7 linked regions of the Canis lupus familiaris genome follow. The protein of the gene in region 3 purifies or fractionates together with the protein of the main gene of each other region. This does not show direct contact. Links are inferred from orthologs where the notes say so. Each region holds a gene or a part of one and is shown on either strand. Other genes may lie near its edges. The genes, in order: CHERP, RIOK1, SNRPB, MEPCE, COPRS, CMTR2 and HTATSF1.

Region 1 (3,500 bases), on a different chromosome or scaffold from region 3:
AGTTTGGCTTTGAGCTTGGCCTGCCTGAAGGGGATGGCTCCCCCGAGAGCAGCAGAAAGTGACTCTGCCTTTTCCCTGCCCCTTTCTCCATCTTGCCCCATCTCCTGCTACGCACACGTGCAGCCTGGGTCCTCACCCTCTGCTCTCTGTTTCCCTGTGCCACATAGGTGGCTCCCTTGCCACTTGGCTGCTCCTCACCCTGCCCCTCCCTTATTTTTCTGCTGTTGGGGAATAGGCAGCTGCTCAGAACCTTTTCTGCTCTCCTGCTGCCACCAGCCACTCTGCTGACCAGGGCAGCTCTGCAGAGACCCGGCCCCGTTTCTGGCATTTGTCCAGCCACACTCCTCTTGCTCGGCTCTATGCAGAAGCCCAGTGCCGCTCACCCTGTGCTCGGCCCCTCCTCTCCCCGTCCTGGTTCCCAGCCTTGCACTCACTGCTGTCTCTGAGCACCCTCTGGTGGACTTGGTGCTGGGAGGGCTTCAGGCTACTCACCTTTTGCCTCCCTCCTGTCAGAGGCAGCACATGTGCTGTCGGGCTCTGCCGCCTTACGCACGGCCATGGGGGCCACGGCCTCTGCACCCCCTTACACAGCCACCCCGGGAGGATGTGAGGGCAGGCTGCCTCACGTCCCTAGACGCCTGGCTTGCCCCACACACTCCCCCACCTCCTGAAAGGCGGGGATTGAGCTGTGGTTTCATTGTGCATAGGGGGTGACAGGGCTGAGTGAGGCCACATGGACAGCTGGGGCTCCTCAGGCCTTGGGTCTGTGCGTCCTTGTGCCACCCCGGGAGGGAAGGGTTATTTTACGGATCAGAAGACCAGGGTGACAGCCCTTTCTCTGAAGGTCCCCAGGCTGTTCTTTCCCTTCTCCCACTTGCTATCTACCTGTCACTCGGGCCCAGGCGCCAGCACAGGTCTTGTGGGGAGCCCAGCCCTCGTCCCAGCCGGGTTGGGGGCCCGTGTCCCGAGAAGGCAGAGGGTGCTGTGGCTGGAGCCGCAATGGTAACGGGCGCGTGGCCGGGTCCCGCCCCAGGGCCCTGACGCGCGGAAGGTCTCTCCCTCACAGCCAGCGCAAGCAGGCCAGGGAGCTGCTGGCCGCCCTGCAGAAAGTCGTGGTGCCCATCTATTGCACCAGCTTCTTGGCCGTGGAGGAGGACAAGCAGCAAAAGATCGCACGGGTACATGGGGCAGCCAGGAGAGACGGAGGGCAGAATGGGGGTGGGGATTGCTGGTTTTCCTTCTGACACGGCCTCTCCTTCCTCCGCACCCAGCTCCTGCAGCTCTGGGAGAAAAACGGCTACTTCGACGACTCCATCATCCAGCAGCTGCAGAGCCCAGCCCTGGGGCTCGGCCAGTACCAGGTGAATACCTTCCCCACCCACACAGCACCGAGAAGGTGGGGGGCTATCCCCAGAGAGTGGGGCAGTTGCATTCCAGCACGTTCCCAGAAGTCAGGTGGCCAACAGCCCCTGCCTGGGGTGGCACCTGCCGGTGGGGTGGTGATTTCGGAGGCCAGGTAGCATTTTGCACACGGGACTCCCACACGTGTCTCTGGAATGATGGTGAGAGCGGGAGGCTAGGGTCTGAGCAGCAGCCTGTGGGCGGGGCTCCTGCTCTCTCCACAGTGACCAGCGAGCCCCTTCCAGGTGAGCCCGCCTGACTATTTTCCTGGTGCTCTTGTGGTCGGGTGGCCCTATTCAGGCCCTGCTCATGGCAGTGGCTTTGGCCTGTCGGCCCTGGTCCTTTGGGCTTGCTTCTGCATGATGGAAGCATAAAGCAGCCTGGACGTCACCTAGGCTGTCATGGCCACATTGTGCATTAGTCACGTCCTCTGTGTGGGTTTGTCTTCTCTCTGGGGAGGCATCTGCTCAGATGATGGTGGCGCAGGGCAGAAAGGGAGGGCCAGCCAGGTCTCCTTGGTCACTTCTGCTGTGACACCAGCCTGGCTGCCCCGTCTACAGCTGCTGGAATAAAGGCAGAGCTCACACCCCCTCTTCTCAGGCCGGAAGCTGTGGTTTTGGAAAAGAGGAGGTTGAATTTCAGAAGCTGTGCTGTCCATTTCCTCTGCGACGGCCTGGAGGCTACCCGCACAGGGGGGAAGCTTTCATACTCCCACAAAGGCATATGAGGAACGTGCATGTCCAGTTGTGAATTTTTTTATCTTTTTCATTGTTAGAGCAGGCTTATCACACCCTATCGCAGCGGCGTTAGCTGTTCCCGTCCCTCCCGAAGCTGGTGGCCGCAGCTCGTGTTTACTCAGCCACGCTAGTCACTTTATGTGGTGTTTCACTGGGTTGTCCCCACAAATCCTTGAAGGGAGGTCCTGTTATTGTTTTACAGAGGAGGAAACGGAGGCTCAGGGAGGTTATGACTTGCTTAGAACCCCGTAGCAAGTGAGCACCATGGCCCGTGCCTGCGGCTTAGACCATTTGTCTGAGTCGTATCTCTGATAGTCGTGTGATAGGACAGGGCATGGCTCCTTCCTGTTGTTAGGGAATCACACACCTCACTGCAGCCAGCGCTCTGGTCACTCGTTTTGGCAAGATTTATACACTCTGTGCTTGACAAGACCATGTTAATTGTTTTACATGACAGTCACGTGGCCACCTGCTCCGGGCTCTTGCGCCTCAGCACCTGAGGCCCTGTCCTGAATTCCCGGGGCTTTCCTGGCCCTGTCCCTGGGTTCTGCCAGAAGGGATGGGCCCTGAAGTGATCCCCAGGCTTCCATCCTGAGTGCCAGCTGCTCCCCCCTCTCTCTGCCAGGCTACGCTCATCAACGAGTATTCCTCGGTGGTCCAGCCAGTGCAGCTGGCCTTCCAGCAGCAGATCCAGACCCTTAAGACGCAGCACGAGGAGTTTGTCAACAGCCTGGCCCAGCAGCAGCAACAACAGCAGCAGCAGCAACAACAAATTCAAATGCCACAAATGGAGGCTGAGGTCAAGGCCACCCCGCCGCCGCCCGCCCCGCCTCCGGCCCCCACGCCTACCCCTGCCATCCCACCAACCACCCAGCCTGGTATGGGGACTCCTTCGGCACCCCTTCCGTGGGGTGGGGTGGTCTAAGAAGGCAGCTTCGTTCCCCAGAGAAGGGCTCTGGTTCTGTGGACCAGATCCTAAGGCCGGATTCTGACCTGTTTGCAAACACCAGGCCCAGGGATTTCACAGGTAGATGCAACCAAACCCTTAAAGCTTGGGTGATTGCTGTACAGACTATCCCAGAGAAGACAGAGAGGAAAGCTGCCCAAATCATTTTTCAAGACCAGGGTAACTTTTACACCAGATGGACAAAGAGAAAGTTTCATGGATATCAGGCAGTGTCACTTATGAACAAAGATGCAGAAATATGCCACACCTGAAATCCAGCAAGGTGTTTTAAAACAAGAACAACAAAAAAAAAACACCATGATAAGATAGGATTTGCCCCAGGAATGTGTAAGGGTGGTTTAGCACTTAGAAGTTGCATGAAACAACAGATGAGGCGGTGAAGAAACCATCTTTCA
Region 2 (4,277 bases), on a different chromosome or scaffold from region 3:
ATTCAGCACCTATTCATTTTACTGTTTTAACCTCTGCCACCCTTTCAAGGGTGTCAATATTTACACGTTTTTAAAAAGTGATGTTTACACCCAACATAGGGCTTGAACTCACCACCCTGAGATCAAGTCGCATGCTCTTCCTACAGCCAGCCAGGTGCCCCACAGTATTTACAGACTATAAGTGCGTCCATTGGAGTCCATGCGTGATTTTTCAGAACTCCTTACAGCAAACAGCAATGTCGTTCACAGAGTGACTATTGATTGAACGAACCTTGCAGTCCAAGGACTTACTTTTACTAAAACTTCTCCATCTACAGTCACTGGCCATTTGCCTGATTTTATTTTATTGAATTGCTGAATTAACGAATAATAATTGAGGCTTGATTCCCATCCCCTCCCCCTGCAAGCTACTATGTCATCCCGTAAAGTATAAAAAAAAGCCAGTGGGTCAAGCAGGCTAGCCAGGGATTAGTGAACTTTTTAATCACCTTTTCCATCTTTCCAAACACATAAATGCTGCCTGCGCTGTGGTGAAGGGCATCTGAAAAAAATCTTTGTTTTCTAAACGCAAAACAAAAACAAAAGCAACCAACAACAACAAAAAACCAAGTGTCTTATTCCTTAAACTTTTTTGGTCTAGAATTTCCAATCACATTTCTGGACCTTTATTCATAGTGCACATTCTATCAACTTATTATTTATTATTTTTTTTAAGATTTCATTCATTCATTCATTCATTCATGAGAGAGGCAGAGACCCCGGCAGAGGGAGAAGCAGGCTCCCTGCGGGGGAGCCCGATGCGGGGTTCGATCCCGTGACCCCGGGGTCACGCCCTGAGCCCTCCAGCTGCCCCTCTAGTTCGGTTTTAAGGCGTTTTCAGTCGTATGACAAACTCTCTAAAAAAAAAAAAAATCACTTATCTTAGTTTACCCTCAAAACACGGCACCAAACTCCTTAAGTCTAACTACCAGGCTCCATAGTTTCCCGGACCGCGGCAAGGACCTCGAGCCTCCCGCCTCCGCACGCCGCGGCGCGGGACGAAGAGCAACGTCACACCCGCTCCCACCCAAGGCGTTAAAAAACGGCCGGAGGTACCGGGCGCGTTGGACTCGCGCGCGTGTGACGTCACCCCGCCGCGCCAGCCAATCTCCGCGAGGCTCGCGGCCCGCCGGGCTCCCACGCCCCCTCTGGGCCACGCCCCCCACCTGCGCAGGGGCCGCCACCGCCTCGTGAAGGGGCGGGACTTCCGGCGGGCCGCGCCTTCCGGTCGGGCGGGACTTCCGGTCAGGGAAGTTCCCCCCGCGCGTCCGGGTTGCCGGTGCAGGTGCGTTATCAGCGCGTGGCGCCCGCCTTTCGCGGCGGAGCCTCTGAGCCGCGTGCTGGGCGGGCGTCTGCCGAAGGGCGGTCTCATGGGCCGCAGGTAGGTTCCTGTCCCAGCGCGCGGCGGACGGCCTCCGGGGCTCTGCGCGCTCCCGGGATGGACTACCGCCGGCTGCTGATGAGTCGCGTGGTCCCGGGGCAGTTCGACGACGCGGACTCCTCCGACAGGTGCGCGGCCCCCGACACCCCGACCCCGCGGGGGCTCCGCTGCCCCCCCCCCCCCGGCCCCCTCGGCTTTGGAGGGAGACCAGTAGTTGTCTCGCTTCTTTCCGCACCCCCGCGGGGTCTTTTATCCCACTTTGCGGCAGAGCCCCCCAAAGGAGCCCCGGGTCGCTTAGCATCGCTGAGTCAGGCGACTGTCTGCAGCCGGGGACAGCGGGGAGGAAGCCGATTTTTCTTTAAAAAAAAATATTTTATTTATTTATTCATGAGAAGCAGGCTCCACGCAGGGAGCCCGACGCGGGACTCGATCCCGGGTCTCCAGGGTCACGCCCTGGGCCGGAGGCGGCGCTAACCGCTGAGCCACCCGGGCCGCCCAGGAAACAGATTTTTGCCTCTTGAGCTGCATCCAACGTCCAGAAGGTATCGGAGCGCCTGTTGTGTGCAGGTTCTGTCGGCGGCGCTGGAGACGGTGATGAATAAGACAAGAGTCCCTGCCGTCGCCTGAACATTGCCTTCTGCATGGGAGCGAGGACTTGACGATGGGGTACATAGAGATAGTCTAAGAGCCCCGAAACAGATGTTAGGCGCTAGTGCAAATAATTGAAATGAGTTGATAGGCCGAGTAGTTGACAATGTCAGGGGAGAGGTAAGTCCGGATCGGAAGGACAGAAAAGGAGCTAAAGTCGGGAAGAGCAGGAGGGAACAGCAGTTCAGCAAGAGGAGACAAGAGTGCAGAGGCCCAGCGGGGCTGCCCCTTCTGGCTGTGAAGGGAGGATCTAGAGGCCACGTACCTGGAGCACAGCAGGAATTGGGAGGATGGCGGGGCTCTGATGTAGAAACGAGAAGGGGCCGGGTCATGTACAGCCTCCCAAGCGATGACAAGGAGCTGGCGATGTTTTTCCAGGTCTTAATAGAAAGAAAGCCATAGGAGAGAATTTTAGCAGGGGAATAACACAATGTGATTTATGGTTTAAAGGAATTACTCTTCCAGAGAGGATGGGCACGGATGGAAGCAGTTCAAGGTTGATAAAATGGGGGTGCCTGGGTGGCTCTGCCGGTTAAGGGTTTGACTCTTGATTTCAGCTCAGATCGTGATCTCAAGGGTGGTGGGATTCAGGCCTGCATCCGGCTCAAGGTAGGCGTGGAGCCTGCTTAAGATTCTCTCTCTCGCCGTCTCCCTCTGCACCCCACCTCCACCCTCAAGTCATGCACTCTCTCTCTAAAGAAAAAAAATGATAAAGTAATTCAGTTCAAACATGACGGGAGCTAGAGATAGGGTCAAAGAGATATGTGTTGGAGGTAGAAGTGACAAGATCTGGTGGTGGATCGGATGTGAGCAAAAGGAATGAAGGATAACGCCTACGTGAAACTAAGAGTTCCTTTGGAATTACAAGCAGTTTTTACTTTATGTTCACAGTAAGGATTCATTACTTGTAGGTTTTATTAAATTGTTGATCGTTTTCTGTGTGTCACATCTAATGTCAGTGGGTAGGGATACATTGGTAAACACCACCCTGACTGACACAGGGCTTGCATGGGAGGAGGGGAAACATTAAATAATTAGACAGTAGATGGGGATCCCTGGGTGGCTCAGGGGTTTAGCGCCTGCCTTTGGCCCAGGGCACGATCCTGGAGTCCCAGGATTGAGTCCCACGTCAGGCTCCCAGCATGGAGCCTGCTTCTCCCTCCTCCTGTGTCTCTGCCTCTCTCTCTCTATGTCTATTGTAAATAAATTAAATAAATAAATAAGTAAATCTTTAAAAAATAATTAGACAGTAGATATTTGCATTAGAATTGGGTAAGTAGTACAAAAGAAAAGTGGATAAGGAATAGGGAAGACTTCCCTGAGCAATTGATCATAAGCTAATACTGGAAGGTTACATAAGATTTAGCCAGAGAAATAGGATTTTATTTCAAAAGCATTCCAGATTTTTGTTTCCAAAGAGGCATATATAAATCTTTAGGGAAGAAGTAGGAAGAAGAAACACAGCCCAGTGACGACTGGTGAATAAACAGTAATGAGTGTGCACTGGTTTACCATCCATCACTGGAAATATCCACTATTCACAAGACTGAAGATAAATCAGTGGATTTTGTGACCCCACCACACTTCAGAGTTTCTTGGCAATCTTTAGAGACATTTGTTTGTTACAACTGGGTGGTGGGGGAGTGCAGAGTAGCATCTGGTTGGTAGAGGCTAGAAATAGTGCTAAACGTCCTACAAGGCACAAAACAACTTTCCACAACAAAGAATTGCCCAGCTGAGGTTGAGGAGTTCTGGTACAAATGAAGTCCAGCTTAAACATGCCACTCTAGGTTTATGGCAATTGAAGGATCAAATTAAGGATTATATTTATGGGGCAGCCCCGGTGGCGCAGCGGTTTAGCGCCGCCTGCAGCCCAGATCCTGGAGACCCTGGATCGAGTCCCATGTCAGGCTCTCTGCATGGAGCCTGCTTCTCCCCCTCTGCCTGTGTCTCTGCCTCTCTCTCTCTCTCTCTCTCTCTCTCTCTCTCTCGTCTCTATGAATAAATAAATAAAATCTTTTAAAAAAAGGATTATATTTATGAAAATGACAGTGTAAATCCTAACTTCATTAAGGCAGAAGTGGGTTTCCTACCTGCTGTACTTGTTTAGTAGGACTTGGAGAATGAGCAAACAATGGGAATGGCGCTCTGAAATCTGTTTTATTGGGAGGTGTGGTGGAAGGAAAACTTATACATTTATTAGTATAGA
Region 3 (4,036 bases):
ACCATGCCCCCTCAGCCCTTCATCCCTGGAGTCCAACCTTGCTAGTGACACCCCCCATCATCCCTCGAAGACAACCTAGCTGTACACCTGCCCTAGTTTGTCAGCAATGGGATTCCTAGCATAATCTTTTCCCCAGTGGAAATGGAATATAATACCATGCTATGCTGTTTTTATTTTCTCCCAATATGCATGATATATCTGTTTGCTGCAGCCCTTCAGGTGCAGACACTATGCAGTATATGCTTTGTGTCAATGTCACCCTGGCTCCCCATGCACATCCAAGTCCCTCGGTGACCCTGCTCCCATCTTTGGCTTGCCTGATGACTGTAGACCAGCTCTGGCCCATGCAAATCTTAAAAAAATAAAAAAAGAAGATTTTATTTATTCATGAGAGAGAGAGAGAGAGAGAGAGAGAGGAAGGGGCAGAGACATAGGCAGAGGGAAAAGCAGGTTCCCTGCGGGGATCGTGATGCGGGACTCGATCCCAGGATCCCAGGATCATGACCTAAGCCAAAGGCAGATGCTCAACCAGTCAGCCACCCAGGCGTCCCTCACCATGTTATATTTAGTATATTAGACCTCCAGGTCAAGCAGGTGGCTGGAGATTTTGGCCACGAGTTAAATAAAGCACCCAGGGTTAGAGGAATAAATCTGAAATTCCTGAGCATTTAGGTAGTATTCACAAGTCATAGGACTGGATGGGATTGGTTGATTGACTCATTTGTTCATGGAAATATGTTTAGAGCTAGGCATTGCGGTAACGAAAAATACACAAAGGAAAATCTATACCCTCAGAACTTGCATCCTAATGGGGAGGAATAACAACAGAAACACGGTATATTAGGGATCACCATTAAGGAGGAAGATAAAGCAGGTAAGGGCGGGAAGGCTGCAGTTTAAATAAGGATGGCCAGGGAAGTCCTCAGTGGGAAAATGTTACTTGAGCTGAAGTCCTGAAGGATGTTCGGGCAGGAGTCGTGCAGGTACCTGGACGACTAGCATTGCAAAGGTGCTAAGGCAGGAGCTCGTCCAGCAAGTTCACAGAAAAGGACAGGCCAGGGAAGAGCGGTGGGACCTGGAGACCCAGAGGTAATGGGGAGGGGCGTGCGGGCAGCTCCGGAACCGATTGAAGCTAGGGAGGTGACCTAACATCCCGGGAAATGTTGTTTGACGTTAGCCCCGCCCCAAACTCCCGCGGGCGTCTAGGCTCCCAGGTCGGCGTTTTGGCCGGAACTCAAGAGCCGACGCCGGGCCGGAAGTAGTTTTTACCCGACCCCATTTTATCCGCGGCCGCACTTCCGGTAGCGGCGGCGGGAAGCGGTGTAGTAGCGGGCGTCTAGGCCTCTGCTGAGGGCAATCCGGCGGGAATCGGAGCCATCAGAACCGCCACCATGGTGAGGACGGGCAGGCCGGCTGCGCGGGAACTTCCGAGTCTGTCGTGGAGTGGGCACCGCGGCCGGTCGGGAGGAGGTCGTGGGTTGGGGGCTCATGGCGGCGAAGGCCCGGGCCGCAGCCGCCGCGTCTGGGCGGGGGAGACTCGGACCGTGGCCTTTGGACGGGTTGGGGGAAGGGAGGGCTGGGGCCGAGGGACGGAGGCCGGGGCCGCTAGGTGGTGGCGAGGATGGGCCCGCGGCTGTCCACGCCGCTGTAGCCACGGTGCTTGGGATCCTGCAGGCACGAAGTAAACTTTTGCGCAATAAATGCGCGTTTGGGGTTTCGGAGCAGACATAAGAGCCTCAGGAGGACTCGTGAAACGGGGTGAGGGTCTGAGGGGGACTTGCGGAAAGCGGGGAGGACTTCTGGCCGAAACTAGAGAGCGTGCTTGGGTCTAGCAGATGGGAGGAGGGAATGGGAGGGAAACCGAAGATGGAGGAAGGGTTCAACTCCTTTGTGGGGCAGGTCTGTGTGAGCGTGTCTGGCTTCTCAGGCACTGGGGCTACTCCACTCCTTTCGCTTTCTAGTTGCGGACGCAGGTAATATGATCCAGAGTGGTAATTAAGCGCTGCGTAAAAGTAACGGGGCGGGGGGGGGGGCGGGATAAGAACGTTTTCCTGGAGTAGATGGTTCCTGAGCAGAGTCCTAACAGGTTGTTACAGGAGTCTCCCCAGCCTCGATGGAAGGGAGTATTGTAGATTGGGAGGGCTCCAAGAGCAGGGCGTGAAGGGCCGCACTGTTGAGGGTTCCTGGAGGGGTCGAGGGGGAAGGGATGGAAGAAGAGATGGGAGGAATTGGCAGGAACCTGGCTACTAAAGGCTTTCCATGCTGCCTGATCCCGTTGGTGATGAGGGATGCCGTGGAAGGATGTAGCCAGCGAAATGACGTGGACGCAGTTGTGTTTAGAAAGAGCGCTCTGTTCTGTGGCTGTTGCGTGTTGGGTGAACCGAAAGCCGGGGATTGTTTGTAGGATTGGTTTGGAAGAGTAGGCACTGGATTCAGTCTGTCTAGGTTCCAGACCAGCTTCCTGGCTGTGAGACGGGGCAAGCTACTTAACCTCTCCTGACCTCAGTGGCTGCATCTGTAAAATAGGAATAATAATTAGCCTGGTTTTTAGAATTAAATGAGATATTTAGAGACTGCTGGGTGGCTCAGTAGTTAAACATCTGCCTTGGGCCCAAGGTGTGATCCTGGAGACCCGGGATTTAGTCCCACATCAGGCTCCTTGCATGGAGCCTGCTTCTCCCTCTGCCTGTGTCTCTGCCTTTCTGTGTCTCTCATGAATAAATAAATAAAATGTTTAAAAAAATAAAAGATATTTAGTGCTTGTCACAGTGCCTGGTACGCAGTGAACGACCAGGAAGACTTACCTATTATAAGGTGGACAGACCAGTAAATGTTGCCATAAGGCTTCAGATCTGTGTGGCTAGAATCTAGAGGGCAGATTTAAATGGGGACACTGGACTCAAGTTAACCAGCTTGTAGCTGGTTAACAGTCATTTGAGGGAGAGTGAGCCACATAACTTGTGTCTCTAGGCAAGGCTCTGATCCACACATTGGTGGGTTGAAAAACCTGTTCTTGTCCAAGCTTACAGAGATGAACAGCAAGCACAGTAACTGGCAAGAAGACGACACTTGGAAGGCTGATACACAAATCAAATGCCAGGTTATTTCTAGAGAGGTATAACTGCCAAAGGCACCTGGCAATTTGCGTTGTGAGTTCTATTTAGTCTGTCTTTTACCAAAGCTACCTTGGAAGCCAGGCTACAAACCAGAAAAGGTTGTTGGATTGATAAAGAAGTTTAAAGACCATTATGTGTTCAAACTGATGAGCACCCTGGCCACCAGAAAGTTTCCCTCCCAAAGACAGTTTTGGAGGCACATTAACATTTTTCGTTTAGGGATTCCATTTGCCTTGCCTCCAAGCTCATCAGCTCCTTTCTGATAATAGATTCTTGCTGATTGGATCCTTAGTGCCAATCATTCCAGCTGTTTTACTCGGTCCTTTAACTGGGCTGTGGGTGTTCCACAGCACTGGAGTCACACACCTGTAACCTGCATAGTGGCAGATGGCTAATCTGGTATGGGGGGATTGGATTAGTTTGGAGATACCTTACTCCTCACCCCTGAAACTGACACAGCAGACACACAGGCAATTGTGATATGAAAAAGACTGATTTTAAGGGAGAGTAAGAGAGTTGTGGGCAGAGGTCTGGGCTGAACACTGGGTGTGGGAGAATTCCCCGGGAAAGGAAGACAGAGCTGAGAAGTTGTTGAGAGAGATAGCCATGTGGAAAAGTAGGCCAGAGCTGGTTTTTAGGAAGGACCAGGGATATATAGGTTCAAAAGAGCTTGACTCTGATCCTGCTGATTTCTCCTTGCAGACTGTGGGCAAGAGCAGCAAGATGCTGCAGCACATCGACTATAGGATGAGGTGCATCCTACAAGACGGCCGGATCTTCATTGGCACCTTCAAGGCTTTTGACAAGCATATGAATTTGATTCTCTGTGACTGTGATGAGTTCAGGAAAATCAAGTGAGAAGTGGGCTGCATGGGGGTGGGATTTAAATTGTGAGGGAAATGGACTGGGTGGGTGGGCCA
Region 4 (4,120 bases), on a different chromosome or scaffold from region 3:
ATCCCTGAAGATCTGGTTCTCCTGGCAGAGTACATGCAGAAATCCCTCTGGGTCATAACTTTCCTGTCTTATTCCCACTTAATCTCATCTTCACACCTGGCCCCTATACCAAGAGCCTTCAGACCCTCTTACCGTGACGAAGACAACATTGTTGGGGAAGACTGATGTGTCTGCTCCATCCAAGGGCACTTGGGGTGCAGCGATGGGACCCCGGCTGGCTGTCAGTGAGGCTGGGAAGCAGCTTCTCTTTCGGACGGTTATGGTCCCTTCCTCACTCTCTGCCCCTGGGTCCCCCTCAGAAGTCTGGGATGGCAGACGCAGCTCCTCAGACAGGTAGTGTCGGATGTTTTGGCGGGCCGAATGAATGAGTCGGGAATCGATATCCAGACCCACCATGCGGGATGGGCCCCACTTACAGGCAATGCTCAGGGTCAGATGGCCCACATTGCAGCCCAGATCTAGGACGTCCCGACCCCGAAACCACTCAGGCTTCAACACTCGAAGGCGCCCATCCTCACAGGAGGGATTGCGGTAACCATAGTACTTGCAATAATTCCCATACTGGAACTTGAGCTGTTGCTTTTTGAAGACTGCTGCAGGTAGTGGGTGGAGGTGGAGGTGGTGGTGGTGGTGGTGACGGCCTCCCCCACTCCCTCTGCCCTTCTCCTTGGGACCCTGGACTCCACCCCTAGCCCCTGCCTCTGACTTGCTGGAAGTCCTGCGACGTTTGCGATGTCGTGAGGAGGAAGACGGGGTTGCAGAGGTAACTGAGGCAGCTGGAGGGGCTGAAAGGGAGCCTGAGGGACCCTGGAGGGCAGATGGAAGGGGAGACACGACCTCATCCCTGCAGTTGATGGCTGTGTTGAGTTCATAGGGCTGAGGGGCATCCCGGTTCTGGCCCCTGTGCCGCTGCTGCTGTGGGGTGCCCTCCCCATGGAGTGAGGGAGTGAGGGGGGCTGTGGGGAGCACAGAGTGGCTATCATTCCCTCCGGTTGCCTGCTGCTGCTGGTGGTGCTGTCCCCGATGTCTATGCCGCTTCCGACCAGTCTTGAGTGGCGATGCAAGAACTACCTGGGCCTCATCAGTGCAAGTATTGAGACTGAGCGGGTCAGTAATATCTTTGGGGATGAGGATCTCCACTGGATCTCGCCCCTTGGCTGGAAGTGGAGATGACTTAGGGGTCTCTGCATTGAGTGCGCGGCTCACTTCCTCATCCAGGAGGCTATTCAGGTTCAGTGGATCAAAGATATTGCCCCCCAGGAGAAAGTTGGAGGGTAACACAGAATCACAGTCCGAATTAACCCGCCTGCGCCTCTTGAAGGCCGGATGTTTGAAGCCTCCACCACTCCCTCCCACGTTACAACTATTTCTCCTCTTTCCCCCACCTCCCCCAGGGGGCCGGTGGGGCTGATAGCCATTGCGGGGTCGAGGAGGGGCAGGGGGACCCAGTTCTGTTCCGCCTCCTCCCCTTCGCTCCTCCCCAACGTCAGGGGGAGCGGCTCGCCCGTGGGGATCCGACAAGCGGGCCTCCCCATGAGACTGCGCCTGGGGGCCGCCCCCTCGTTGCTGCTGCGACTGGCCTCCCCGAGTGGATGTAGCCCCAGGGCTCTCCTTGCCGACCCCAGAAGCCGGGACCCCCGTCGAGTGTGTGCGCGGGCCCGGCCCACGCTGCGTCCCGCCGCAGAGCTCCCCGGAGGCGGCCTCTCGGTGAGGTTGCAGCGTGGGGCCGCCCCCTCCGCCCGACTCATCTTTGAGCGGCGGCGGCGGGGCCGGCACCAGAAACGGCTCCTTCTCCGCCGCCATCTCGATCATTTCCTCCCCTTATTCCGTCCCAGTTGAGGGCAACGGGGGGGGGGGGGGGAGAACTAGGGGGCTTAACCCCCCTCCCTAGAGCCCGCTCCCTTCCCCCCTTCCCTGAGTGCGCGCGCAGCTCTGCTCTTCTCGCCTAGTCTCGCGCCCAAGCGCCTCCCCCGAAGCGCGCCCCACTCGCCCGCGAGACCAAAACAAGATGCCCGCGAGAACCGAACAACTCCAGGAATCAACCGCGCGTGCGCCAACGCCTTTCTCCTCCACCACTACCGCTTCGCCGCGAGCGCGCACTGCTAAAGCGCGTTCCTCTCGCCCCTGAATCACGCATGCGCACTCCGCCACCACCCTGGTTGCGCGCGCATGAGTACGAACCAACTTAACGGCTCCGGGAGTTTAAATATAGCCCACCTCAGCCCCCACAAAAGCCCACCACCCCAAACTGACACCCTACTTCCCTTCGCAGCTATGTCCGTCCCTACTGATATCCTTTGTCTCTGCCGCGCGATCCCACCCACCGTAGGCGGGGGACGGGGAGCTGGTGTGAAAAGGTCTCCTTGACACCCGACCCTTGTTCCTGAGGAATGAGTCTCAGCGGTCTCCGCCCGGCTCTAAACCCAGCAACCTCCCTACCCCGCCTCCTTCCTCCCCCTAGCGGGCAGCGCCTGCGCACACCCTTTTGGGCTTGCGCGGGTAGATACAGCACGTGCTGGAGATGACGCCCCTCCCTCCACCCTAGGGGCGGAGACTGTTACGTCGCTTCCTTAGATTTGGTACACGCAACGTGCGTCAGCACGGTTTGGAGGGGGCGTGGTCAACGAGTGGGGCGGGCCTCATGAATTATTCATATTTCGATCGCCCCCTTTGCCCACCTACTTAGAAAGGCTTCCGAAGGAACGGAGGGGTGAACCTAAAAGTAGAGGAAGGGAAGGAGAGGAGCGTACAGACGGCTTGCCTACGAACTGTTCTCAGTAAAATACAATAAGTCATTGTAACTCACCCCCCTGGGAAATAGTCTCTGCTGAACTGAAAAAAAAAAAGGCACTAAAACAGCCGATGTTGTCCAACTTCCTCTTCCCCCGAAATGGCCGAGTCGTTCTCTCGCTCCTCCGCTTTACCCCAATGGCGATCACCTGGGGACACCACGCCCTCCTCTCCGCCTCCACACCCACAGCCCTGGCACCAACACCTCTTCCCACCACCCGACGCCTGCGCGCGAGCCCCTAGCCCGCCGACTGCGTCCCGACGCCCACCGCAGCCACCAATAGCAGCACATTCGCCACCACCACGGCCACCTCGCACGCAGGCCTTCCCAAGCACACGCTCTCTTCGCGCAGCCTTATATAAAAACGAGTGTGGGCGGGGAAGAGGGTTCGGCCTGCTTTGGGCCCCCTGCCTCGGCCAATGGGGAAGAAGCTGCTCGGCGCCCTTTCCACAGGGTGCTAAGGTGGCGCGTTCTCCCTGCCAACATAGCTTGGGGAGCGGGTCCTGTGGCAGAGAAGAAGGCGGGAGGGGCGACAGTGGGGTTGCAGATAGTCTCAACTAAAACATCAAGATAGGGCGTGAACGAGACTAAAAGGAAGAATAGGAACCAGGAAACGAAAAGAGGAAGGAAAAAGCAGTCTGGGGTAGAGAGAAAAGTTAGTAACAGACAGATGTGCTTCATGAACGATCAGGCGCTGCTCCCGCCGCCTAAAAAAAAAAAAGTGAGGACACTGAGGATTATGGGATTTGTAGTTTTACAGGGCATTCGGCTGGAAGATGGCGGATAGAACAGCTGCGCAAAAGCAGAAGCAGTTTCGGCTGCGCATGCGCCCCAGTTTTGGATGCACGCCGCGGGGGTGGCAGCGCAGCTAGTGCGTGTCCTCACGCCTTTTCTTTGTGGCGGGAAAACTGGGTCGAGGTTGGAGGGGTTTGCGGAATTGCTGCAGTGGCTCATTCTGCTCTTTGCCTTTAGGTCCTCCTTGCTCCAGAAGGTAGCTGGCTTTTCTCCGGTTGCAGATGAAAGTGCTAGGCGCTGCCAGTCCTGGTACCCGTCGCCTGAGGAGAAATTTTCTCTTCTGGACAACCAACTCCTACCCCTCCTAAGAATCTCCACCGCAGACCTACCCTCCGCAAACAAACAAAAGTGACCCAGTATCCTGGCGGCCAGTGACGGGCTGAGCAGGAATGAGAATACGGGTGCCTCCCCCGGGGGTGGGGGTGCGGTCGGGCCTCTAACGGGAAGTTATCTCATGGTGGCGGTTCCTGAGGTGGAAGAGAGGCTTGCAGCAACCCCCTGTTTTATCCACTGAGGGGAATCAAGGACTTGGAC
Region 5 (3,745 bases), on a different chromosome or scaffold from region 3:
ACATGGAACCTGCTTCTCCCTTTGACTGTGTCTCTGCCTATCTCTCTCTCTGGGTCTCTCATGAATAAATAAATAAAATCTTTTTATAAATAAATAAATAAATAAATAAATAAATAAATAAATAAATAAATAAATAAATAAATAAATAAAAAAAAGTTCAAAAATCCTTTCATACCAGCTGAGGGCTACATAACTGCTGGTTTAATCTATTTGCCATTTAGTGTTACGGCCTGCAGAAAGTTCTTGTTAACTAAGTAAATGGTCAATTTTTCATCAACAGGAATAGAAGAAATCAGCCACCAAGTCATCAATGTTTCCTGGATTCTAATCCTTGCCCCAAAAATTATTTTCTTTCACAGAGTAGTTTTAAGTGTCCAAGTATTCCAATCCTTAAAGTGTAAGCCATTTTACAAAGCCATTACTCCTTAACTGAAGGAGTAAGGCTTTGCTGGTAAGTAAGTATCCAGTTAGAAGGGGGGAGGGGAGTAAACAAAAGCAGATCAAATTTTTTCTACCTTTATTTATAAAGAACACGACTCCTCCTGACACAGACGCAAACACTCACATGTCCCAAGGAGAAGCTCATTAAAAACAACAACAGCATAACTGGAGGACATTGGGACCTTATCTAATGCCAGTCTGTGTGCTCGACTTGGGGATCGCTGGGAATGTGTCATCAAATGTGACCTCCACCTCCATGAAAGGAAGAGAGACCTTCATTTGGAAAGGCATGCCCACCCACCAGGCCAGAAGCTGCACACTCAATCTTCAGCATCATCAAACTGTCCTGTTTCGAAGACCATCTTGGAATAATGGGGTATCAGTGGAGGTGGATGGTGCCAACTAGGGTCATAGATCATGTCTCCTTGTGGGGCACAGCACACCCAAGGTTTGACCTCTTGAGAGATGCAACCCTGGATGTCATCAGCATCTGCAAGCAGTTAAAAAACAAACAAACAAACAGATTAAAGGTGGGGGGGGGGGAGGCAGGGACCGAGAGCCAAAAATACCTAGGGGACAGACACCTGAACTTTGTTTAAAAGCACACAGAGTGCTCCCTGGATTGCAAATGTGTTCATTCTGAGGAAGCCACCTAAGCAGAGCTTCTCAAAGGGGGGTCCTTTGCAGTGCAGAGGCTGCAACTGCAGAAGACAGCACTTCTGTCTGCAGAAGCTAGATTCACAACGATATTTTAAGAGAACAACACTGTTTCAATGTTAAAACTGATACATTATAAAGTCAACTACAAAATTTGTATTTTTTTCCAATATGAAAGAGAGGCTGTCACAGAAATTTCAGCCCTGTAACAGGTGTCAGGCTAAGGTCACAGACTGGGTCCGTCTTTCAAACGGTCTGCCTGTGGGGTAATTTGGTAAGAGGATCTCCGAACCTTGGACCCCCCAGAAATGCCACACCTACCATATGGATTGCCTTGATCTGCTTTCAACTCCAAATCCCAGTCCTCGTTAAAAATATCAGCAGCCGATTCCTTGGGCGGACAGTTGGACACCCCTTCTGACAGCTCCCAGGTATTCAGGTCCCCATCAGAATCCTCATCATCCACAGCAAAGCCTTCCTCTTCCGAGTGGGCGCCCTCATCATGGGTAGGACTACCATTAGGGACACTCTGTGCTCCACTGGCTAAGAAACCAACAGAAGGGAGAAGGTCTTAAAACCACCAGCATCTGCACAAGGCCTACTCATCATGTGCTTGGAAAATGTTTGCCAGATTTACTGTGAGGGCAAGAAGTGAAACAAGTGTACAGAGTTCTTTAGCCATCTGAGCACTTTATTATTGTTTTTTGAAAGATTTTATTTATTTATTCATGAGAGACAGAGAGAAAGAGAGATAGAGAGGCGGAGACAGAAGCAGAGGGAGAAAGCAGGCTCTATCCAGGGAGCCCGACATGGGACTTGATCCTGGGACTCCAGGATCACACCCCGGGGTGAAGGTGGCGCTAAACCGCTGAGCCACCCGGGCTGCCCCACCTGAGCACTTTAAAACAAAAATGTTGGGCAGCCCAGGTGGCTCAGCGGTATAGGGCCACCTTCAACCCAGGGCTATGATCCTGGAGACCCGGAATCGAGTCCCACATCAGGCTCCCTGCATGGAGCCTGCTTCTCTCTCTGCCTGTGTCTCTGCCTCTCTCTCTGTGTCTCTCATGAATAAATAAATAAAACCTTTTAAAAATAAATAAATAAAAAATAAAACAAAAATGTTGTTCTGTTTACCTTTTACAAAGTATGGTTGATCTTTTTTTTCAATAAAACTTTTTGCCTTAAATGAGGCCATTAATTGCAAGCTCTTGTAATTTGCACAGGGAATCAAGCAAATCAAGCACAGTTTATATTTTTAGGTAGTTTATGGGTAATTGAGGCAAAGGGCATCTGGCAAATGATAAGCTTTCATGACACGAACTTGAATTGAATTTTTACTATTCTATTTCTCTCTTCATCCTCAAGGAGCACAGGACAAGGTGCAGCAGGAGGAAAGCAGATGGAAGAGCAGAACCCATCTAATCACAGTAGACAGCCACCACGTCTCCTCCTCCCAATACTGGAGAGGGCTGGACGGTCTATTTTCAAAAAGTCTCAAAATAATGGAAGAAAGTCTGGGAGAGGATAAGAGACCTCCAAGTGTATCGTGCTATGGTAATGCCAGGTAGAGCTGGGAAAAGAATCAGCCTAAAAACAGCCATGTTACGAGTACTGCATAAGAATGACCAACAGCTATAAGCAAAAAAGTAATAGTTCAGGGCATGGGTTCTGGGGCTAGACTACCCCAGTCCCAATGCTGGTTCTGCCAATCTGCAATTGTGTGACTAAGCTGAAACATACTTAACCAAGTCTTCAAGAACTTCAACACACAGCCCAGCCATTCCACTCCTACATGGACCAAAGAATGGAAAACAGGTATTTTAACAAGATCTGTACAAAAATGTCCATGACAGTACCGCTCACAATCACCAGAAGGTGGAAACAGGTCAAATCAATGCCCATCAACAGAATGAATAACCAAGCAAGATGTGGTGTAACCATATGATGAAGGGATTCAGCTATAAAAAGGAATGTACTGATTCATTGTACATGAATGAATCTTGAAAATATTATGCTGAGTAAAGGAAGCCAGACATATAAGGCCATATAGGGTATCCCTCCATTTACATGCAATTCACATTTGCCTAACCAGCATAGGGGAAACCCAGAGACATAAGGCAGATCAGTGGTCGCCAGGGACTTAAGGAAGGGTAGATGGGGTGTGGCTACTTATCGGGCAAAGACTTTCCTCATGGGATGCTGAAAATGTTCTGGAACTAAACAGCCGTGGTGGTTACACAACACTGTAACTGTATGAAGTGGCACTGAGCTGTACTCTTTAAAACTGGTAAATGATAAATTTTATGTGTTTTACCACATTTTTTTTTTCATTTTTACTCTGTGCCTCAGTTTTCACATCTGTAACTATGAAGATAGGATTGTTGTGGGTGTTGTTTTTAAAAGGGGGCAATGGGAAAAGAAACACTTAGAATTGTACCTTGCACTTACTCAGTGTCAGCTGTTATGACTATTATCTCCATGTGTGCATGGTGCTTTTTCTGGACCAGCACTCTCTAACAGGACTTTCAGTGATGATGGTAATATTCTCTCATCTGTGCTCCAAAAGGCTAGCTAGCATGAGCCACATGTGACTGCTGAGCACTTTAAACGTGGCTAATGTGAATAGAGAAGTGAAGTGTTCGTTGTA
Region 6 (4,129 bases), on a different chromosome or scaffold from region 3:
CCAGGATTGTGCCCTGGGCCAAAGGCAGGCGCCAAACCACTGAGCCACCCAGGGATCCCTAGAGCATTTTTTCTTACTTATTTGTAGGAGTTATATATTTTGGATACAAATTCTTTGTCATACATATGTGTTATAAATATCTTCTCCCACTCTGTAGGTTGTCTTTTCATTCTCAATGGTGTCTTATGGTGAATAGACATTCTTAATTTTAATATGGTTCAATTTATATACTTACTCTTTATGATTAGTGCTTTTTCTGCTTTGTTGTAAACTTTTTACCTATTTCAAGGTCACAAAGATGTTTTCTGCTAAAAGAGTTGTTTGCCTTTTTAAAATATAGATTGGCAACCCAAATGAAATGTTATTTTTTTTATGTGAGGTAAGAGTCCACATAAAATTTTTTTCTATACGAATATCCAAATGACCCAGCACCATTTTTTGGAAAGACAATTTTTTCCCTTTGATCGATGCATATCCTGAAGGACTTGTAAAATAATGTATTTTTATTTTTATTTATTTTTAAAGATTTTGTTTATTTATTCATGAGAGACACAGAGAGGCAGAGACACAGGCAGAGGGAGAAGCAGGCTCCACGCAGGGAGCCTGATGAGGGACTGAATCCCAGGACCCCGGGATCACGACCTGAGCCAAAGGCAGACGCTCAACCTGACCCACTCAGGTGCCCCTAAAAAAAATATATATATATAATATATAATAATATGTAACATATAATCGATATATAAAATATATCAATATACTATTATTTATAGTAATATGTAATATATGATCGATATATAAAATATATCAATATACTATTATTTATAGTAATATGTAATATATAATCGATATATAAAATATATCAATATACTATTATTTATAGTAATATGTAATATATAATCGATATATAAAATATATCAATATACTATTATTTATAGTAATATGTAATATATAATCGATATATAAAATATATCAATATGCTATTATTTATAGCATATCAATATTATAAATATTATATATCATATTTGATATGATTTTATGTGATATTATATATCATATTTAACCTCATATTGTTTTTAGAGCACGAGTTTTAACTCAGCCTGAGTTAGGAACCAACTTTTGCCGGACGAGGTTAGAAAGCTTCCCCTCCCAGGGCCGGTGGGCGGAGGCAGCGTGTCCGGGACAGGTTGGCCCCGCCCATCCCCCCGCCCCCCCCTCCGCCGGGGCGGGGCCAAAGGACGCCCCACCTCCGCGAGCGGCTTCCGTTGCCATGGGAGCCGTGGGCAAGGCGGCTGGCGTCCCCGGGACCCCGCGGAGAAGGAGAAGCGAAACCCAGCGAGCGAGGGCTTGGGCGCTACGAGAGTCCCGGCGTGCGTGACGTTGACGCGTAACGCCAGCCCGGCCTCGAGGCGCGTGCGCAATGTGTGTGTCGGGGCCCTCGGGCCGCGGGCGGCCGGCGTCGGGCGGCGGCGCTGCCTGGAGGTGGGTTCCCGCTGCCGGGGTCGCGAGGGCGCGTCCGGGCCAGTTTCCCGGCCTTTCGGGGCGCCGCCTACCTCCGCTGCGGCCGGGGGCGCCGGCGCCGCACGCCCCGAGCAGCGGCCGTTCCGGGAAGCGGCCCCGGGAGCGGAAGCGGAGGAGGGTTCCCTCGAGTGAGGAGAGGAGGGAGGCGCTACCTCTCCCCCGGGGCGGGGCGGGGCGGGGGGCGAGGTGAGGTGGGCGTGAGCGGAGGTCCTCAGGCCCGGGTTCCGAGGCCGGTCCGGAGCGGGGGCGGGGCGTGGGCCGGGGGTTCGTCCCGGGGTCGGGCCGCTCGCCCGAATGGAGCTTGGGACTCCCTTCCGTCCGGTGAAACGGGGTCTTGGGCGCCCCGGCCCGAAGTAGCGAAGGCGCTAGGTGACACTCGGGCTGTGATTGCCGGAGTCGCTGGGAGCCGAGCTGCGGGAGGTAACTTCTAAAACTCCTTAGTCGACGTTAATTGGAGAGAGCACAGCTGATGAGGTCTCGTGCGTTTCGTGTCAGGCCGACGATTTTGCAGGTATTTCCTTCGAGGCTTCGGGCTGCATGACTTCCTACTTGACTGCAAAATAGGAGTGTTACTGCTGACCCTCCTAGCGGAGCTGTGATGCCTCAGAGCTCGATGGCGTGCTCAGTGAAAGGCGCAGAGGAACCCACGGGAAACTTTTTTCTCTATAAACCACGTGTTTTTTTTTTTTTTTTTTTTTTTTTTTAATTTTTGGGTATTGCATTGGTCATGCCGGAGTGAGGTTGAAGTGCATTATCATGACTCATTCAGAACCTAATCTGACGAGTGCCATTTGTGCTAACATTTATTCGTTAAATATTCACTGTTTATTGTGTCCTAAGCACTGTTATAACCTCGGTGTGATAAATGAATCAACAAAACCAAGATCTTTGCCCTGTGGAGCTTAGATTCTATTTTTTGGGAGAAGACAGTAATAAACATAATAAGCAAACGAACTATATGTTATAAGGAAAAAAAAGAGTGTCATGGGGGAAAAAAGAAGTACAGCAAGGTCCTTCCCTTTACCATTGGTATTGCAAAATGCAATTAGGATGTTGGGGTAGGTTTCATAGAGAAATTGCATGTGAGTAAATACTTGAAGGAGGTGAGGGAGTGAGCTGTGCAGGTCATCTGAAGGAAGAGTGTTCCAGGCAGAGGGGTTGCCCAGTGCACAGGCTTACAGGTTGCAGTGTACCTGGTGCTTCAGTGAACAGCAAGAAAGCTTGTGTGGCTGGAACAGAAAGAATATGAGGAACAATAGACAATTAGTTTAGAGATGGGTTGGGGCTGGAGGGCAGAAATCTTCAAGGTCCTTGGAGGTTATTGTAAGGACTGTGGCCTTTACTTTGAGTGAAATGGGGAGCCAGGGGAGACAAAGATAGAAGAGACCAGTTAGAAGGCTCTGGCAATAGCCCCGCAGAAAATTGACAGTGTCTGTAGGAGGCTGGTAGGTGGAGGTGGGTGAGCGAGTGGCTTGAGCCTGGGAATTTGATAGGAGGAAAGAAAGGTGGGATTGTAGACCTGAACATTATTCAATATATACATGTTCAATATTTATAGTTTATATATAAATACATAAGATATATAAACACATAAGATATATGTAATACATAATTTATATATAAATACATAAAATACATTTGTGGTACACAAATCAAGATTCAAATGATTCAAATGATTCAAATCAATGATTTAAATCATTGAATCATTTTAGTTTTTCTCATGTAAAGATAATTATCTATTAGCTTAGGCAAGATTTCAGAGCTTACCTACAGCCATTAATTAGTATGTGAAGTTAGACTAAAATCAGACTTTTTCCAAAATAGAATATAGTTGCGATCTAAACATGGTCATAGTTTCCAGTAAGCACAGTGTGAATTAAGACAGAATAACTTGTAATAAACTTTCATTTGATTTTATTTAGGGTTTTAGTGAATGTGACAATGCCTCATTTTTGTCTTTCAGAAATCTGTCTGAATATAGCTTCTAACAGTAAAATATATATATATATATATATATATATATATATATATATGGACAAGGTATTGATGGGCAAGTGTGACTACTAACTGATGATTTGTGTGTATTGTAAATACGTTGTGGCAAACAAAAATGACTAAGAAGATACTTGTTACCTCAAGAAGCTTATAGGCTAGTGGAGTACACAGGGTTGTAAATACTTTAAACAAAATAGAAGAGGATGAGAAAAGTGTGCTAAAATATAGTACAAAACAAATGGTAATAGAATACAGCCTTCTATATATTATTGTATTTTTTGTGGCATTAGCTCACTTTATTTCTCATCTTAATCACACATTGGCTTTTTGTGGGTTGGTGGTTTTTTTGTCGTTTTTTTGTGTTTGACAATTTAGATACTTTTTGAAAAACTGGTGTAGCATTGAATATGCTGAGTAAACGTGGAACTTTTGAACTAAAGCACCTATTAATTAACATTGAGCCAACAAGTCCTAGGTAATACTTAGAGCTCTAACTGCTAGAATTTATAACTCAGGCCAACACTGTGCCATTAAGCCATGCTTTTTTCCATTATATCTCTTTCCCTCTCTAGTGGACAGATGTTTTTGGTTTCTTAGACGGTGTTAAAACACAGAA
Region 7 (3,500 bases), on a different chromosome or scaffold from region 3:
AAGATGAACAGGCACCCTTATAAGGGAGGTTTACCCTGTAAGTTAAAATAGAATCTTGGAAGCACAAAGAACTATCTTAGAACACTTAGTCAATGAAAGGGCTATCTCTCTCTCCATGACAGCATTTCTGTAAATAGGCATCTATGCAAAACCCAAAGCAGAAGGCTCTGGTCAGTACACTCATGATGCCCGTGCAGGACAGAGGAATGAGCAGTGTCTGATTGCATATATGTCAGAGGACTTTTCCTGCCCGTACAGCTGCTGTTATTGGGGATTCCCGGTCCTCCTTCCCTGCTTCCCCTCCCCTCTGCTCCAGCACAGTCCTACTGCTGCCCGCCATTCTCAGCCCTTTCCTCAAGCTGAAAGCAGGGCCGCCCTGTAGCAGTGGCTGCAGTCTTGGTGATCTAACTTTAATCCGTTTTGACTTTTTAAGATTTTGTAGGCCTCAGACAAGACTACTTTTTTTTAAGTAAAACTTTTTTCGGTATGTTGGCTTGTCAAAGCAAGAAATGTGATTTCTCAGGGTTTGTATTTAAAGGGGGCAAACCTGTTTTAATCATGTGTATGTTTGCAGGATGATCCATTGGTGCTGAATGAAATCAGAGAAGACCTTCGAGTAGAGTGTTCAAAGTTTGGACAAATTAGGAAGCTTCTTCTCTTTGATGTAAGTTCGTGGCTTAGACAAATGATTCCTAAAGCCAAGCATTCTTTCCCTTTGAGAAGTTATTCCCAGAGGTCAGTATGCCACAAATTTTGGATTAATGTTTTTCTATAGTAGGGCTGCTATCTAGTAGTAGTCATCTGTCAGCAGTAGTTAGATGAACATGGATTGTAAGTCAGGGCTTGCTAGACTTGGTATGCCTTGGTGATTTCCCTTTATTGCCCTAGAGTGTGTGATCAGATGAAAGGAGTACAAGAAAGACGTGTGAGATCTTGTGGTTCCCTATTTGCCCCCATTTACCCCTCTTGGTGAATTACTCTCCTCCTCCATATTTGAAGAAAAATCAAGCAAAATATTCTTCTCTATGTTCCCCTTCTTACTCTGTTACTTCCTAGATTGACACATACTAAAAGATTCACCATTTATTGATTGCATACGGGCTACTTTACATGTTACCTCATTTAGTTCTCATGATCTTTTGAGGTAGGTGGGTACTATTCTACCCATTTTACAGATGAGGAAGCTCGGAGTTTAGAGATTGAGTGAGCACCTTGCTCAAGGTCATTTAGCTGCTAAGTGGTAGAAGCATTTCCAAGAACATCATGCTTGGTTCTTGATATACAAGATTAAGCTAAAGAAGCAGCTAGCTTTGGGGTGCCTAGGTGGCTCATTTGGTTAAGTGACTGCCTTCGCTTGGGTCATGATTCCAGGGTCCTGGGATCGAGCCCTGCATCGGGCGCCCCTCTCAGTGGGAAGTCTGCTTTTCCCTCTGCCCCTTCCCCAGCTCGTGCTTTCTCTCACTATCTCTCTCTCTCTCTCTCTCTCTCAAATAAATAAAATATTTTTTTTTTTAAAGAAGCAGCTAGCTTCAAGTCACTGGCTGGAGTAAAAAGGAAGAATGGCTTCATACATAAAATCTTGAAGCTTAAGTTATCAAAGAACTCCACTACATACTTATTTTGTCAAATGTGTATGTTTTATTTTTAGTTTTATCATTCATTGCTGCCTTTTCTTCCCTTTCTAGAGACACCCCGATGGTGTGGCCTCTGTGTCCTTCAGGGATCCGGAGGAAGCTGACTATTGTATACAAACTCTTGATGGAAGGTGGTTTGGTGGCCGTCAAATCACTGCCCAGGCGTGGGATGGGACTACAGATTATCAGGTAAATTCTGCAACTATCAAGGGCACATAAATTGTAACATTACCAACAAATGCTGATCTAGTGGTTCTTCAGATGAGTTTTGGGCTCAGTTTAATCTGTTTAATGTAACAGTTCTTCTAAATAATACTTTGCATCCAGAGCATAGAAAGAAAAATGTTTTAGTTTTTCAGTTTATAAGCCTGAAATTTTGAGGTGTGCTCAGAATAGTGGTAAGTAAAGGATGGAGAGCATTCAAGTATTAACTTTTTCTTTGATTTCTTTATTTAACAATTCTGCAGGACTGTGGTGTTGGGCTTTTGTTTAAATGATCTTAAGCTCAACTCCCATTAATCAAGATGTAAAATTTTGAAAACTGAATATAGGGAAATGCTCTGATTTCCTAAGAAGAGATGCTGTATGAAATCAGGGTATTTGTGTCAGTATCAGAAGTGTGCAGAGAAGTTATTTATTTTTGCCTAAAACTCATTTTAATAGCAATTCCCCTTTCTCCACAGGTGGAAGAGACCACAAGAGAAAGGGAGGAAAGGCTGAGAGGATGGGAGGCTTTCCTTAATGCTCCCGAGGCTAACAGAAGCCTTCGGCGTTCAAATTCCATCTGTGCTTCGGAAAGGGCGGGGCCTTCTAGGGTAAGGCATTTTTCAGAGCGCCCTAGCACATCGAAAATGAATGCACAAGAGGCCACAAGGGAAATGGCATTTGAAGAACCCATCGATGAAAAGAAGTTTGAAAAAACCGAAGATGGGGGAGAATTTGAAGGAGATGCTTCGGAAAAAGATGCCAAAGAAAGTGGTCCCGAGAAAGAGGCTGAGGAAGGCTGCGCCCAGAAAGAATCTGAAGAAGGCTCCCTCAAAACAGAGTCTGAGGAAGGCTGCCCCAAGAGGGAGCGTGAGGAAGACTACCCAGAGAGAGAGTCTGGAGAAGGCAGCCCTGAAAAAGAGTTTGAAGAGGGCGGTCCTAAAGCAGAGTCTAAAGAGAATGGCCCTGAACAAGAATCCAAAAAGAAGAGGCTCAAAAATGATTATGAAGAGAACGGTCTTGAAAAGGATTCTGACCAAGATGGCCCCAGCAAGGAGTGTGAAGAGGAGAGCCCTCAAAAGGAGTCTGAAGAGGATGACTCGGAAAGGGAATCCGAAGAAGACTTCTCTGAAAAGCAGTTTGAAGACGGCTCTGAGAAAGAATTTGAAGAAAATGGCCTTGAGAAGGATTTTGATGAGGATGCCTCCGACAAGGAGTTCGGCGAGAACATTCTCGACAGGGAGTTTGAAGACAATGACTCTGACAAATCAGAATTTGGAGATAGCAGCTCTGAGAGAGTGTTTGAGGAGGAAGTCTCAGAGAGGGAGTTTGACGAAGAGTCTGATGACAAGGAAGAAGGGGAGGACACCTACGAAAAGGTATTTGATGATGAGTCAGACGAAAGAGAGGATGAAGACTATGCAGATGAAAAGGGGCTTGAAGACGTTGATGAGAAGATGTTCGAAGACTCGGATGACAAAGAAGATGAGGAAGGAGTAGAGATAAAGGAAGGTGAGGACGTGGATGATAAGATGTTTGAAGAGGATGATTCCAACGGGAAGCTGTTTGATGATGACGATGAGGATTCCAGTGAGAAGCTGTTTGACGACTCTGATGAGAGAGGGACAGTGAGGGGTGTGGGCAACGTGAAGGAGGAAGGGC

What was found.
Region 1: the proteins of SNRPB (region 3) and CHERP purify together in Homo sapiens (co-immunoprecipitation; 3 studies listed by BioGRID and IntAct, with this or other methods). This does not show direct contact. The link is inferred for Canis lupus familiaris from reciprocal best matches to the Homo sapiens genes SNRPB and CHERP.
Region 2: the proteins of SNRPB (region 3) and RIOK1 purify together in Homo sapiens (affinity purification with mass spectrometry; 4 studies listed by BioGRID and IntAct, with this or other methods). This does not show direct contact. The link is inferred for Canis lupus familiaris from reciprocal best matches to the Homo sapiens genes SNRPB and RIOK1.
Region 4: the proteins of SNRPB (region 3) and MEPCE purify together in Homo sapiens (affinity purification with mass spectrometry; 4 studies listed by BioGRID and IntAct, with this or other methods). This does not show direct contact. The link is inferred for Canis lupus familiaris from reciprocal best matches to the Homo sapiens genes SNRPB and MEPCE.
Region 5: the proteins of SNRPB (region 3) and COPRS purify together in Homo sapiens (co-immunoprecipitation; 3 studies listed by BioGRID and IntAct, with this or other methods). This does not show direct contact. The link is inferred for Canis lupus familiaris from reciprocal best matches to the Homo sapiens genes SNRPB and COPRS.
Region 6: the proteins of SNRPB (region 3) and CMTR2 purify together in Homo sapiens (co-immunoprecipitation; 3 studies listed by BioGRID and IntAct, with this or other methods). This does not show direct contact. The link is inferred for Canis lupus familiaris from reciprocal best matches to the Homo sapiens genes SNRPB and CMTR2.
Region 7: the proteins of SNRPB (region 3) and HTATSF1 purify together in Homo sapiens (affinity purification with mass spectrometry; 3 studies listed by BioGRID and IntAct, with this or other methods). This does not show direct contact. The link is inferred for Canis lupus familiaris from reciprocal best matches to the Homo sapiens genes SNRPB and HTATSF1.

The regions. Positions count from the first base shown.
Region 1 is NC_049241.1:46,417,198-46,420,697, forward strand, and holds part of CHERP (calcium homeostasis endoplasmic reticulum protein), read left to right. Parts: intron 1-1,033; coding exon 1,034-1,178; intron 1,179-1,271; coding exon 1,272-1,361; intron 1,362-2,763; coding exon 2,764-3,016; intron 3,017-3,500. UniProt on the Homo sapiens protein: Involved in calcium homeostasis, growth and proliferation.
Region 2 is NC_049256.1:8,648,144-8,652,420, forward strand, and holds the start of RIOK1 (serine/threonine-protein kinase RIO1), read left to right. Parts: upstream 1-1,477; coding exon 1,478-1,548; intron 1,549-1,937; exon of another isoform or gene 1,938-2,081; coding exon of another isoform or gene 2,082-2,086; intron 2,087-4,277. Other genes in the region: CAGE1 (cancer-associated gene 1 protein), read right to left, coding at 969-978. UniProt on the Homo sapiens protein: Involved in the final steps of cytoplasmic maturation of the 40S ribosomal subunit. Involved in processing of 18S-E pre-rRNA to the mature 18S rRNA. Required for the recycling of NOB1 and PNO1 from the late 40S precursor.
Region 3 is NC_049245.1:19,125,763-19,129,798, forward strand, and holds the start of SNRPB (small nuclear ribonucleoprotein-associated proteins B and B'), read left to right. Parts: upstream 1-1,236; 5' UTR 1,237-1,391; coding exon 1,392-1,394; intron 1,395-3,818; coding exon 3,819-3,970; intron 3,971-4,036. UniProt on the Homo sapiens protein: Plays a role in pre-mRNA splicing as a core component of the spliceosomal U1, U2, U4 and U5 small nuclear ribonucleoproteins (snRNPs), the building blocks of the spliceosome.
Region 4 is NC_049227.1:9,182,778-9,186,897, forward strand, and holds the start of MEPCE (7SK snRNA methylphosphate capping enzyme), read right to left. Parts: upstream 2,801-4,120; 5' UTR 1,813-2,800; coding exon 133-1,812; intron 1-132. UniProt on the Homo sapiens protein: S-adenosyl-L-methionine-dependent methyltransferase that adds a methylphosphate cap at the 5'-end of 7SK snRNA (7SK RNA), leading to stabilize it.
Region 5 is NC_049230.1:41,073,836-41,077,580, reverse strand, and holds the end of COPRS (coordinator of PRMT5 and differentiation stimulator), read right to left. Parts: intron 1,642-3,745; coding exon 1,420-1,641; intron 932-1,419; coding exon 762-931; 3' UTR 501-761; downstream 1-500. UniProt on the Homo sapiens protein: Histone-binding protein required for histone H4 methyltransferase activity of PRMT5.
Region 6 is NC_049226.1:77,703,493-77,707,621, reverse strand, and holds the start of CMTR2 (cap-specific mRNA (nucleoside-2'-O-)-methyltransferase 2), read left to right. Parts: upstream 1-1,329; 5' UTR 1,330-1,479; intron 1,480-1,796; exon of another isoform or gene 1,797-2,029; intron 2,030-4,129.
Region 7 is NC_049260.1:107,814,800-107,818,299, forward strand, and holds part of HTATSF1 (HIV Tat-specific factor 1), read left to right. Parts: intron 1-574; coding exon 575-664; intron 665-1,685; coding exon 1,686-1,823; intron 1,824-2,317; coding exon 2,318-3,500. UniProt on the Homo sapiens protein: Component of the 17S U2 SnRNP complex of the spliceosome, a large ribonucleoprotein complex that removes introns from transcribed pre-mRNAs.